3 linked regions of the Macaca fascicularis genome follow. The main gene of each other region encodes a partner of the protein of the gene in region 3 in a complex. Links are inferred from orthologs where the notes say so. Each region holds a gene or a part of one and is shown on either strand. Other genes may lie near its edges. The genes, in order: MYOM1, CCDC8 and OBSL1.

What was found.
Region 1: the proteins of OBSL1 (region 3) and MYOM1 are in contact, whole or in part, in a crystal structure (PDB 5FM5), measured with the Homo sapiens proteins. The link is inferred for Macaca fascicularis from reciprocal best matches to the Homo sapiens genes OBSL1 and MYOM1. Residues at the interface, in NP_056126.1 of Homo sapiens: Pro243, Lys253, Phe255, Val257, Asn258, Gly260, Lys261, His262, Ala263, Lys264, Phe265, Arg266, Cys267, Tyr268, Val269, Met270, Gly271, Lys272, Pro273, Pro275, Trp279, Lys305, Tyr308, Tyr317, Cys319, Ala321, Arg322, Asn323, Ser324, Ala325; in NP_003794.3 of Homo sapiens: Arg616, Pro617, Ser618, Ala619, Pro620, Trp621, Thr622, Gly623, Gln624, Ile625, Ile626, Val627, Thr628, Glu629, Glu630, Glu631, Pro632.
Region 2: OBSL1 (region 3) and CCDC8 share a complex: the UniProt entries of both Homo sapiens proteins name them as parts of the 3M complex. The link is inferred for Macaca fascicularis from reciprocal best matches to the Homo sapiens genes OBSL1 and CCDC8.

Annotation. Positions count from the first base shown.
Region 1 is NC_088392.1:71,676,607-71,680,251, forward strand, and holds part of MYOM1 (myomesin-1), read right to left. Parts: intron 1,731-3,645; coding exon 1,567-1,730; intron 1-1,566. UniProt on the Homo sapiens protein: Major component of the vertebrate myofibrillar M band. Binds myosin, titin, and light meromyosin. This binding is dose dependent.
Region 2 is NC_088393.1:54,435,024-54,438,742, forward strand, and holds the start of CCDC8 (coiled-coil domain-containing protein 8), read right to left. Parts: upstream 2,870-3,719; 5' UTR 2,069-2,869; coding exon 428-2,068; 3' UTR 1-427. UniProt on the Homo sapiens protein: Core component of the 3M complex, a complex required to regulate microtubule dynamics and genome integrity. It is unclear how the 3M complex regulates microtubules, it could act by controlling the level of a microtubule stabilizer.
Region 3 is NC_088386.1:115,501,832-115,505,576, forward strand, and holds the start of OBSL1 (obscurin-like protein 1), read right to left. Parts: upstream 2,262-3,745; 5' UTR 1,957-2,261; coding exon 945-1,956; intron 1-944. Other genes in the region: INHA (inhibin alpha chain), read left to right, coding at 2,824-2,919, 3,081-3,306. UniProt on the Homo sapiens protein: Core component of the 3M complex, a complex required to regulate microtubule dynamics and genome integrity. It is unclear how the 3M complex regulates microtubules, it could act by controlling the level of a microtubule stabilizer.

The sequences.
Region 1 (3,645 bases), on a different chromosome or scaffold from region 3:
AATCTACAGGCTTTTCCTTAAAAAGGATTTCAGAGTGGGGTAGTTAAATAAGCTTTGGTGGACCAGAGAGTAAAAATAACATTTTAAAAATTTTAACTTTTTCCACCCCCTTACTGCCTCCCTTTTTCGGTTGTGTTTCACACTGTCAGACGGAGAGTGGAAGAAATCCCCGGTCGCCGTGCGCTGGTGACGCAGGCCAAGTGTGTCCTAGAAAGCCTGCGTCCCTCTGGGCCGGCTGCTCCCGTTACTGTGGGTCCTGCGGAGAGTCCTTCTAGTCACCGTGAGTGGGTGCGGTGAAGACAAGGGGATTCAGCCCCAAAAACACTCAAAGCAGGGCTGAAGGGCTACGCTCTAAATGACGAATCTGCTCTCTGAGGTTGAAAGAACCTGAGTTACTGAATATTGAGGTTGTATTTATTTATTTATTTATTTTTATTTTTTATTTTTTGACAGAGTCTCGCTCTGTAGCCCAGGCTGGAGTACAGTGGCGCAATCTCGAATCATGGCAACCTCTGCCACTTGGGCTCAAATGATTCTCCTACCTCAGCCTCCCGAGTAGCTGTAACAGGCATGTGCCACCACAGCCAGCTAATTTTTATATTTTTAGTAGAGACGGGTTTCACCATGTTGGTCAGGCTAGTCTCGAACTCCTGACCTCAGGTGATCCACCTGCCTCAGCCTCCCAAAGTGCTAGGATTACAGGTGTGAGCTACCATGCCCACCTGAGGTTGTATTTTAAAATGAAGGAGTAGAGGAAAAGTCAGTCCACAGCTGTCTTTATTAACTTTAACACAGTATAGACTATTTTATTTTATTTATTTTTAATTTTTTTAGAGACAGAATCTTGCTCTGTTGCCCAGGCTGGAGTATAGCAGTGTGATCTTGGCTCACAGCAGCCTCAACCTCCTGGACCCAAGTGATCATCCTAGCTCAGCCTCCTGAGCAGTAGGGATTATAGGTATAAGCCACCACGCCACCACACCTGGCTAATTTCTTAAAATTTTATTTTTGAAGAGCTGGGGTCTCACTATATTGCCCAGACTGGTCTTAAATTCCTGGCCTCAAGTGATCCTCCCACATTGGCCTCCCAGAGTGCTAGGATTAAAGGCCACCATACCAGCAGACTATTTTACTTTTGTAAGAAAGAATAGGATGAAGAGTATAGTTCTGGGAAAGGGAGAAATGGCCCAGTATTTTTTAACTTTTTACTTATAACTGAGTATTTTTTATTATTTATTTATTTATATATTTTATAGAAACGGGGTTTCGCTATATTGCTCCAGGCTGGCTGGTCTTGAACTCCTGGGCTCAACTGATTCGCCTGCCTCCCAAAGTAGCTGGGACTACAGGTGTGTGCCACTTTGCCCAGCTACTTTTTTTTTTAGAGATGAGGTTTCACTATGCTGCCCAGGTTTGTCTTGAACTCCTGACTTCAAGCCATCCTCCTGCCTTGGCCTCTCAAGGTGTTGGGATTACAGGCATGAGCCACCATGCCCAGCTCCCTTCATTTCTTTTAAAAGGCTCATTCATCCAGAGTAAATTTGAATCTGCAAAATATCTGTTTACCTTGTCCAGAAAGATCCACTGTCTTCTGATGTCCAGTTTTGCCATCAAAGAGCTCCATGACGTACTTCCCTTTGTCATTCGGGGTGGGCTCATTGATTTGTAGCCAGATCTGCTCTCCAGTGACCCCGGTCTTAACTCTGTCTGAGTACCTAATGGCGGCCCCACTGTGAAAACCGAAGAAAACTTCCTTAGCGTTTGCTTCCATCCAGGGCTGATCTTGACTTTGTCTCTTATTGAAGCTCTTGCCGTAAAGTTTTATAGGCTTGCAAAAAGCGAGGGATCTGCATATGTTATTCTTCTGCTTCAGAAAAATTATGGGCCATGACACACAGAACTGGGATTCCAAGGCCCAAGTTCTGACGGTCGGAATATTTATTTATTAATAACTCCTCATAGCAGTCTGAGGCCCAGGGCAAATCACAATACTAATACTTCTCAGTGGTATTATTATCTTTGTTTTAGTTTGGATTTATTTGTAGGACTAGGGTAATCTATAAAGCTAAAAGGCCAAACTACATATTATTTTACTGTATATTTCATCTAGATAATCTATGGCTGTAAATCAGATTTCACAAGCTAGTCCAAAAACAACACTTATGGAGGCTCAAGTGGTTGACTAGACCAAATAATTAAGATGCTTATGCTTTGCTGGTCTAATAGCAATTTCCTCAAAACATCCTTTCAGTGTTCTCATTTTTGAACAAGTAATTCTTTTAGAGAAGATATAAAGCTTTTTGATTGATGATTCAATGAATTTTACTTCTCTGACACTTCAGACTGGTATATTAGAATGTCCTAGATGTCACAGAGGAATTTCCTGGAATTTGATCTATTTTAGCTTATAATTACTTTCCTAAAATGTATTCTGAAAGAAACAGAACAAAGGAATAAGCCCCAACATTCGACACTGGAATTTCACCAATTCTCATTTTTATGACTCAGTTAATAATAAATCATAATACTAGCGAAAACACTGTTTTACATAACAGTAAAGTCATCTTAAAGAAAACACAAATGGCTGCTTTGCGGCACCTGGCTCTGGCTAACTGTTCAATCTAGCCCAGTGGGCCCCAACCTTTTTGTCACTAGGGACCGGTTTCGTGGAAGACAATTTTTCCACAGACCAGGTAGGGGGAGGGTTTCGGGATGACTCAAGCACATAACATTGATCATCAGATTCTCACACGGAGCGTACAACCTAGATCCCTCACATGCGCGGTCCACAATAGGGTTCGCGCTCCTGTGAGGATCTAATGCCGCAGCTGATCTGACAGGAGGCGGAGCTCAGGTGGTCATGCTCGCTCCCTCGCTCACCACTCACCGCCTGTTACATGGCCCAGTTCCTAGTAGGCCACGGACTGGTACCTGTCTATGGCCTGGGGTTTGGGGACCTCTAGTCTAGACTTCACGCAGCTGGAATCCAGTGGTAGGTAGTGCCATGATGAACCGGGCTCTGGAGCCAGGCTGCCTAGGCTCAGCCTTGACCCACCTCTTAGCTGTGTGACCTTAGGCAGGTCACCTCCCCGAGCCCTAGCTTCCTCATCCCTCAAGGGAGGAGCACCTCCCACGCAGAGTGGTGAATGTGAAATGAATTCACATACGTAAAGGGCTTTCAGCAGCGACCCCCATACTGTCAATGCCACTGAGGGTACAGGGTGGGGAAACTTACTATCTGTACCCTCCTGGGGATGCCACGGGACCTTCTTCTCAGTGGGGCTCCTAGGAACATTTGCACTTTGGAACATTTGCATCCTGAGGTTGGACTGAAGGTGGCTACACTCCATCAGATTATCTATGCCAGGCCTCGGTTCTCTTTCAGCTCAGGATATTTCAAGGAAGCACGGAGGTTAAGGACACTGTCAAGAGTGTAAACGGGAGGCCTGGTTTGATTTGGAAACTGATTTCAGCTCTTGGAATCCCGGAAGCTAACTTGAATAGAGTCCCTGTATAACTGCACGGAGGTTCAAACCCATCTTCCCCAAAGTCGCCTTGAGCTCTCCAAAGCCTTCTGAGGGTGGACCAGAAACATGCTAATGTCTCACTCTGCCAGGCGCTATAACATCAACAACAATAATCTTG
Region 2 (3,719 bases), on a different chromosome or scaffold from region 3:
ACCCCCTTGTATCGAATTCTTTCTTTACATTTTTTGGGTTGCTACAAGGAATCAGTATATATATGTGTGTGTGTGTGTGTGTGTATATATATATATATATATTTTATCAGGTGGTACGTGTGGTGGCTCACACCTGTCATCCCAGCACTTTGGGAGGCCGAGGCAGGAGGATCAGTTGAGGCCAGAAGTTTGAGGCTGCAGTGATCATGCCACTGCACTCCAGCCTGGGCAACAGAGTGAGACCCTGTCTCTAAAAAATTTTTTAAAAATCAACGCATGAGACAAAACTTTAACAAGAGAATAAAGAGGGTTGTAAGGTGGAGATGTGGGCAGCACTCCAACTCCACTTTCAAGTTCAGAGGCAGAAAGAGCAACTTTCTCTCCCACGCTTGTAGGGAGGGCCCGTGGGCTGTCTCTAGCCCTCACCTCACAGCTGGTCTTCTCGCTCTCCCTGTTCAGCTTCTGCTTTGGCCTCGGCCCTCAGCACCCTGAGGCTCCTGGCCTCGCCTGCCCTGGGGACTCTCTTGGGCAGGGTTGGCAACCGGGGAGTGTGCCAGAAGGCTCTCCGGGGCTTGCGAAACCACGAAAAGCGTCCAGGGGTCTGGAACCTCACTGTCTTGACCTGTTTCCGGGCCCTGGCTCCTGAAGCTGTTCCTGTGGCCCCTTGGGCAGCTGAGGCTTCAGCTTCCTGGATACCTGGGGCCCCTGCCCTCTGATTATGTGCAGCCTCTGCCCTTTGGCCAGCCCGGGCCTGTGCCCTCTGATTACCTGCACGCTGGACAGCTGGGGCCCTTTCCCTCTGGTCATGTATGGCCTCTTCCCTTTGAGGATCTGTAGCCTCTGACCCCTGGTCAGCTAGAGCCTCTTCCCTCAGGTTATCTGCACCCTGTGGCCTATGGTCAGCTGGGGCCTCTGCCCTCTGATTATCTGCAGCCTCTTCCCCATGGTTATCTGCAGCCTCTGCCCCCTGGTCAGCTGGGGCCCCTGCCCTCTGATTACCTGCAGCCTCTTCCCTCTGGTCAGCTATGGCCTCTTCCCTCTGATTATCTGCAGCCTCTTCCCTATGGTTATCTGCATCCTCTGCCCCCTGGTCAGCTGGGGCCCCTGCCCTCTGATTACCTGCAGCCTCTTCCTCCTGGTCAGCTATGGCCTCTTCCCTCTGATTATCTGCAGCCTCTTCCCCCTGATCAGCCTCGATGTCTGCCCCCTGACCTGTGGGCGCTGTCTGCTCCTTCCTGCGGCGCCTAAACGAGGCCCAGTTGATCTTGGGCCTCCATCGCCTAGGGGAGGCCTGCGGGGCACAGACATCTCCCACATTTTCCACAGGATCCCCGGGATCCCCGGGGCTGGTGCCGGAGGATACCCCTGCGCTCTCCACTGGGATGGAGGCCAGCCGGGCCTCGCCCACCCCGGGGCCCGCCCTCGGCGCCCAACCCTTCACCCTCCGCTTCAGCTTCCCCCAGGACACCTGGCTGACATACTCCCGCCACCTGTCCGCCTTGGACAGCTGAGGCCCCAGGTTGTCCTCAAACATGGGCACTGGCAGGTTGACGCGGCGGCGGGCAGGCGGCGCGGGGGGCTGCTTCTCCTGTCGCCGGAGAAATGCCTCCACCAGTTCCTCATCATCCTCGCTCTCCACGTCGCTTCCCAGGAACTTGCTGCCCAGGTAGCTGACGGGCATTTTGCGCACCTTCTTGCCCCGCCGCGGGCCCTGGCGGCTCTTGTCTCTGGAGGTCTCGAAGTCGCTGAACTCGCTGTCGCTGGCGTTGCTGCTGTCATACGTGCCCACGACCAGCCGGGGCGTAGGAGTCACCATCTGCTGCACTCTCCTCCTCACTCGGGGCTCCTTGGGCTTTTTGGGGGGCTGGGGCGGGTGCGGGGTGCTCTTCTCGATGATGCGGGCCACGTCCTCCAGGGTGCGGCCCTGTTCTTCCAGGAACTGGGTCAGCCGCTCCCGAAATTCTGCTTCCTTGGTGGCAGGCTTAGAGATGACTCTCCAGACGCCCCCGGCCAGCCTGACCTCCCGGGGGATGAGCAAATAGTCGACGTCCTCCCCGATCTGCAGCATCCCCACCGTGGAGTCCTCCTCCTTGCGGAACACCTTGCCGATCTTCTTAAATGTTCCCACGGGTTTTAGGGCTTCCACGAGGACGTCCAAATCCACATCTTTGCAGACATCGGGGACGCTCCAAAGAATGAGGCAGTCGGGGGACGGGAGGAAGCCCCAGGGGAACCAGCCCCCCACGTGGCTTTTCTCGAGAGTCTTTAAGATCTCCAGGGTGATATCTGGGGTGAGGGAGCAAAGAGCCCCAACAAACTACTGTAGCCCTTAGTCTTGAGGGAGGGACTGGATGGGGGGAGTCCCAGCAACGCTGACCGCAGAGTCTCACCTCCCCAGCCAGGGACGAGTCAACGCCTCCAATCTCTTCTCCTGCAACAAGTCCAGTCTTGACCAAGTCCGGCTCCTCCACCAAGGACTTGGGAGAATCAATTTCCAGGATGCCTACGTGAGCCGGGGGCGAGGTCAGTCCCAAGGTTCAAGGCCCACTCCAAGCTGGAAACGTGGTGTCCCGGCTCCAAGTTGGGGCGCGCGGGCTGCCAGCGATTCTTCCTGCCCCAGGCCCCTGGGACGCGGTTGGAACTTGGGAGAGGACTTCGCAGACAAAGACGGTCCAGTCGAGGCTATTCAATATGGCGGAGGCGCTGAGAGGCCTCAGCCCGGCCCCCCAGTAGGGTCCCCCGCCCCCAGGCAGGCCACCACCCAGCTCCAGGCTGACCTTGACGCGCCGCAGCCTGCCAGCCCGCGCGCTTAGGGCTCTGCACGGTGGAGCGCACCAGCAGGAAGTTCCTCCTTGCCCTCCGCCAGAATGAGGCCCACCTTCCCCCGTCTCATCTTACACTCCCAGACTCTGGAAGACTGACAGGGGGGCTGTCCACTCTCTTCGGGGCAGCCTCCTTCCCCTCCCCCACAGGGGTGTGGCCGCGCCTGGGGCCTAGCTGGGCCCATTGCTTCCCAGCGAAGCGGCGGTGGCCCACGTCAGCACCTTTGCTGAAAGGCAGCGGTTCCCAAACCTGCCATCCGAAATGTACAAGTTTCCAGCCAAGTCCTGGAGGTGGGTGTGCCAGTGGATTCTACCTTTTGAGAGCCACTGGCACCATAGATTAGCATTTTAAATTCACGCGACTATCCGTACCCGTACACCCAGACGCGTGGGTAGAGAAATGGGTACCGGGATCTTATTGCAACAGTCCCCCTGTGACGCTTGGCAGGAGGTCAGGGCTCTACATATTTTTGAGTGGATGAATAAACCTGAATGTTCATAGCCAGGCGCGGTGGCTCATGCCTGTAATCCCAGCACTTTGGGAGGCCTAGGCGGGTGGAACACTTGGAGGCCAGGAGTTCGAGACCAGCCTGGCCAACATGGTGAAACCCTCGTCTCTACAAAAAATACAAAAATTAGCCGGGTGTGGTGGTGTGCGTGTGTAGTCCCAGCTACACGGGAGGCTGAGGCAGGAGAATGGCATGAACCCGGGAGGTGGAGGTTGCAGAGATGGCGCCACTGCACTCCAGCCTGGGCAACAGAGGGAGACTCTGTCTCAAAAAAACAAAAACAAAAAAAAAAAAAAAAAAAAAAAAAAAACAAAAAACAAAACCAAAAAAACCCCACAAATAAACAACAACAAAAAAGCCTAAAAGTTCATGAGTAGATACTGCCTCT
Region 3 (3,745 bases):
GAGGCCACCACCGCAGCCCAGGGGCCACATCCTTGACTGCGTGCCAGGCAGGACTCAGGAGAATTTACCAACTTTTTTTTCCTCCAAGAGAAAAATCTGGACAATAACTAGTGAAGGTATAATCCTTTGCATTGTGATGAAATCCTATTATGGGGAGCGTTACCTAATGGTGAGTTTGGGGTGTGCTTTTTTTTTTTCCCTTTGAATTTTCTGTTTATGAGAATGTAAGCGTTTATTGGATATTGTTGGTGATTCAACATTGAAATATAAACCTTCTCTCCTTCACCTTCCTCTTCTTGCAAACGTGGGGAGTAGTTTAATCAAAGAACAGTAAAAACACACAGGACATTTGTCCTCCCTTGTCTAGCTTTCTACTGAATCACTTGTTTCTCAAGGTGACAGACGCACCCAGGCTGTTCCCACAGGGTTCAGAGCCTGGACTCATGAATGCAGTCTTCACTTCAAATGCCTGTATTCAATAAAATAGCCTCCTTATTCTCACTGATGCTTTAGAAGTACCTGTTATACAAGCAGACTTAGCAATTTAGGCCCACAAAATACTCCTTTATCTGTCTCATATATTGGGACTCTGGTTGTGAATTCAGTTGGGGAAGGAGAAGTAAAATAACAAAGACGTTGAAAACCACTAGGGGAGAAGAGTTCTACCGCCCTCCAGGTTTGTACATCAATCACTCCTTAGTGGTGTTCCACCATCTGCCTCGGAATCTTTTGGGGAGTTTGCTAAGAAGTTCCTGAGTACCCGGGAGACCTAGTAAATCCGAATCCCTGGAGAGCGGGAGGCGGGCGGGTTTGATATTTTAATATTGCCGCGGACCTCCTCTCTTCCAGTCTTCGGGGCAGTGCTGCGCACCGAGGAGGGCTGGTGTTCGGAGGGCCTCGGAGGACACGAGAGGCCCCTCCCCAGGCCCCGGGCGCCGCCGTACCTTTCACGTGCAGCTGCACCGCGCTGAGCGTCTGGCCTGCCGAGTTGCGCGCGGCGCAGACGTAGAGCCCACGGTCCTTGGCCTGGCAGTAGAGCACCTTGAGCACGAAGCCGCCGTCGCGGTCGCGGTACATGAGGCGGCGGCGGTCCGGGAGCAGCGGGCGGCCCTCCCAGTGCCATTCGATCTCGGGCTCGGGCTTGCCCATCACGTAGCAGCGGAACTTGGCGTGCTTGCCCTCATTTACCCAGAAAGTCTTAGGAGCGCACTTGAGCGGCTCCACCACGGGCGCGGGGGCCTCGTCGGGGTCCGAGGGCGGGCTCTCAGGGGGCTGGTGCACCTGGAGCAGCGCCCCCGCCTGCGCGTGGCCGTGCGCGTTGCGGGCGTGGCACACGTAGACGCCGGAGTCCGGCAGCCGAGCTGCCAGGATGCGCAGCGCCAGGCTCGCGCCGGGGCCCTCCTCGGCGCGGCCGGGCTCGAGCGCGAAGTGGCTGCTGTCCCACACTTCGTCCAGGGCCATCCCGTCCTTCTCCCAGTACAGCGTGGGCTCAGGGAGGCCCCCCGCCCGGCACGTCAGCACCACCTCCACCCCCCTTAGCACCCACTGGGATCGGGGCCCCGTGAGGAAGACCGGGGCGCCCTCCCCGGACCCCGGCGGTGGCAGCGGGCGCTCGGCGGGCTGCGGCTCGGGCTCGGAGGCCGGTGGCTCCAGCACGGTGACAGCGGCCGCCGCGTAGGCCTCGCCCGCCGCGTTGCGGGCGCGGCACACGTAGACCCCGGCGTCGGTAGGCAGTGCGGTGCTCAGCAGCAGGCCGTGCTCCGCGCCGTCCGCCAGGAAACTCAGGCGTTCCGAGGCCGCCAGCTGCTGCCCGCCCTTCTCCCACACCACTACCGGTGGCGGCTCCCCCAGGACCACGCACTTGAGTTCCGCCTCGGCGCCACTTACCACCCGCACCGGCCGCGGGAAGCGCAGGAAGCACGGGGGGCTCCCCTGGTCCCCTGAGCTCGCCTTCATCGCAGCTGTCTCAGACCGCCTGCAGCGGCCAACGGGGAGGGTGGGCCGAGGGCGAGCAGAGGCCAGGGGCGGCGGGGCCGGGGCGCGGCTGCGGACCAGGCGCGGGTACCCGCGAAGCTCTCCCGGGCCTCCTGCTCCCGGCTCGCCTCCTTACCCTCGGCCCCAAGCTGCAGCTCTGCGGCGGCGGCGGCGATTCCCGGGCCGAAGCCTGGCGCTCAGGGGGCAGTCCTTCCTGTTTGCCTCTCCAGCGAGGGGCCCCGCAGCCTCTCCTGCCCGCTGCCTGGCTTCCTGCTCTTGGGAGCCTCTCTTCCCAGCCCCCTCCCACAGCTTGGGCCTCTTCCCCCTCCTCCCTCCCACCTCCAGCCGCCAGGTCCCTAGCCTCCCGCCAGGCTTGGGCCTGAGTGGCAGAGGCGCCTGCAGCTGCCAATCCCAAAAATATTCTCTGATGACACAGCTGGAGGACAAGAGCCCAGACTGGCTCCACTGGGCTAAGTATAGAGCAGGCAGGACCACCTGCCCCCGGCCCTAGCCCCGGTTCTAGCCCCGGCTCCAGCCCTTCCCCCAAGGGCTGGCCGGCCCAGCAGCTGCTTATTGAAAGGGGCCCCAGAAGGTCTGAGGGGTGGTGCACTGTGTCTCCCTGACAAATGACACTTTCCGGGGCTGGCCGGCTGCAGCTCCCAGGCTCCTGTCCCACCTGATGTAAACCTCTGGATGTGTGTGTGTGTGTGAGAGAGTGCGTGTGTGCGTGTGTGTGTGTGTGTGTAGGAGAAGGGGTTGTAATGTTTGCTTGTATGAGTCAGGTCGCTTGGGGCGAAATCCTCCCCAGTCCCTCCCCAACATCCCTGGCGGGAGTGGGAGATAAGGCTCATGGCCACAGACATCTGCGTCAGAGATAGGAGGTTTCAATGCCACGGGCAGGGGCAACTCGGACTGTGGGGCGTGGAAAGGACTGGAGAAGACTGGGTGAGAAGGGTAGAAGAGGGTGGGTGTGGGATGGGGAGAGTGGAGCTGCCCTGGGCAGACCCTGGCAGAAAGGGCACGGGGGAGGGTGTGGGTTCCCCGCTAGCAGGGCCAGGTGAGCTATGGTGCTGCCCCTACTGCTCTTCTTGCTGCTGGCCCCACAGGGTGGTCACAGCTGCCAAGGGCCGGAGCTGGCCCGGGAGCTTGTTCTGGCCAAGGTGAGGGCCCTGTTCCTGGATGCCTTGGGGTCCCCCGTGGTGACCAGGGAAGGTGGGGACCCTGGAGTCAGGCGGCTGCTCCGAAGACATGCCCTGGGGGGCTTCACACGCAGGGGCTCTGAGCCCACGGAGGAGGAGGATGTCTCCCAGGCCATCCTTTTCCCAGCCACAGGTAACGAGGTGGGGGAACTGGCAGGGTGACTTTGAGAAGCAGCAAGGCACAGCATGGGTTTGCGGGCCAGGTGGACCTGGGTTTGAATCCCAGCCCTACCACTCAGTGGCTTTGCAACAATAGGCCAGTTATTAAACCTCCTTATGCCTCTTGTCTCCCAATCTGTAAAATGCGTGATAACGCCAACCTCTCAGGATTAAGTGAGAGGCTGTACCTAGAGTGCATGGCAGGTGGGAGGCATTTGGGAGGTATGCGCTGGGAGACCAGGGGTCTCTAGAGATGGAGATGTCTGGGCTTGGGCCCCTTCCTGCCACCTTTCCTCCTATCTCTGCCTCTGCTCGCTGCTCCAGACCCTGTTTCTTTACTCCCAGGTAGCTGAGACTGAGAAGCTATCAGAGATACAGGCAAAAGATTAGTTGGGAAACTTTTCTGGAAAACT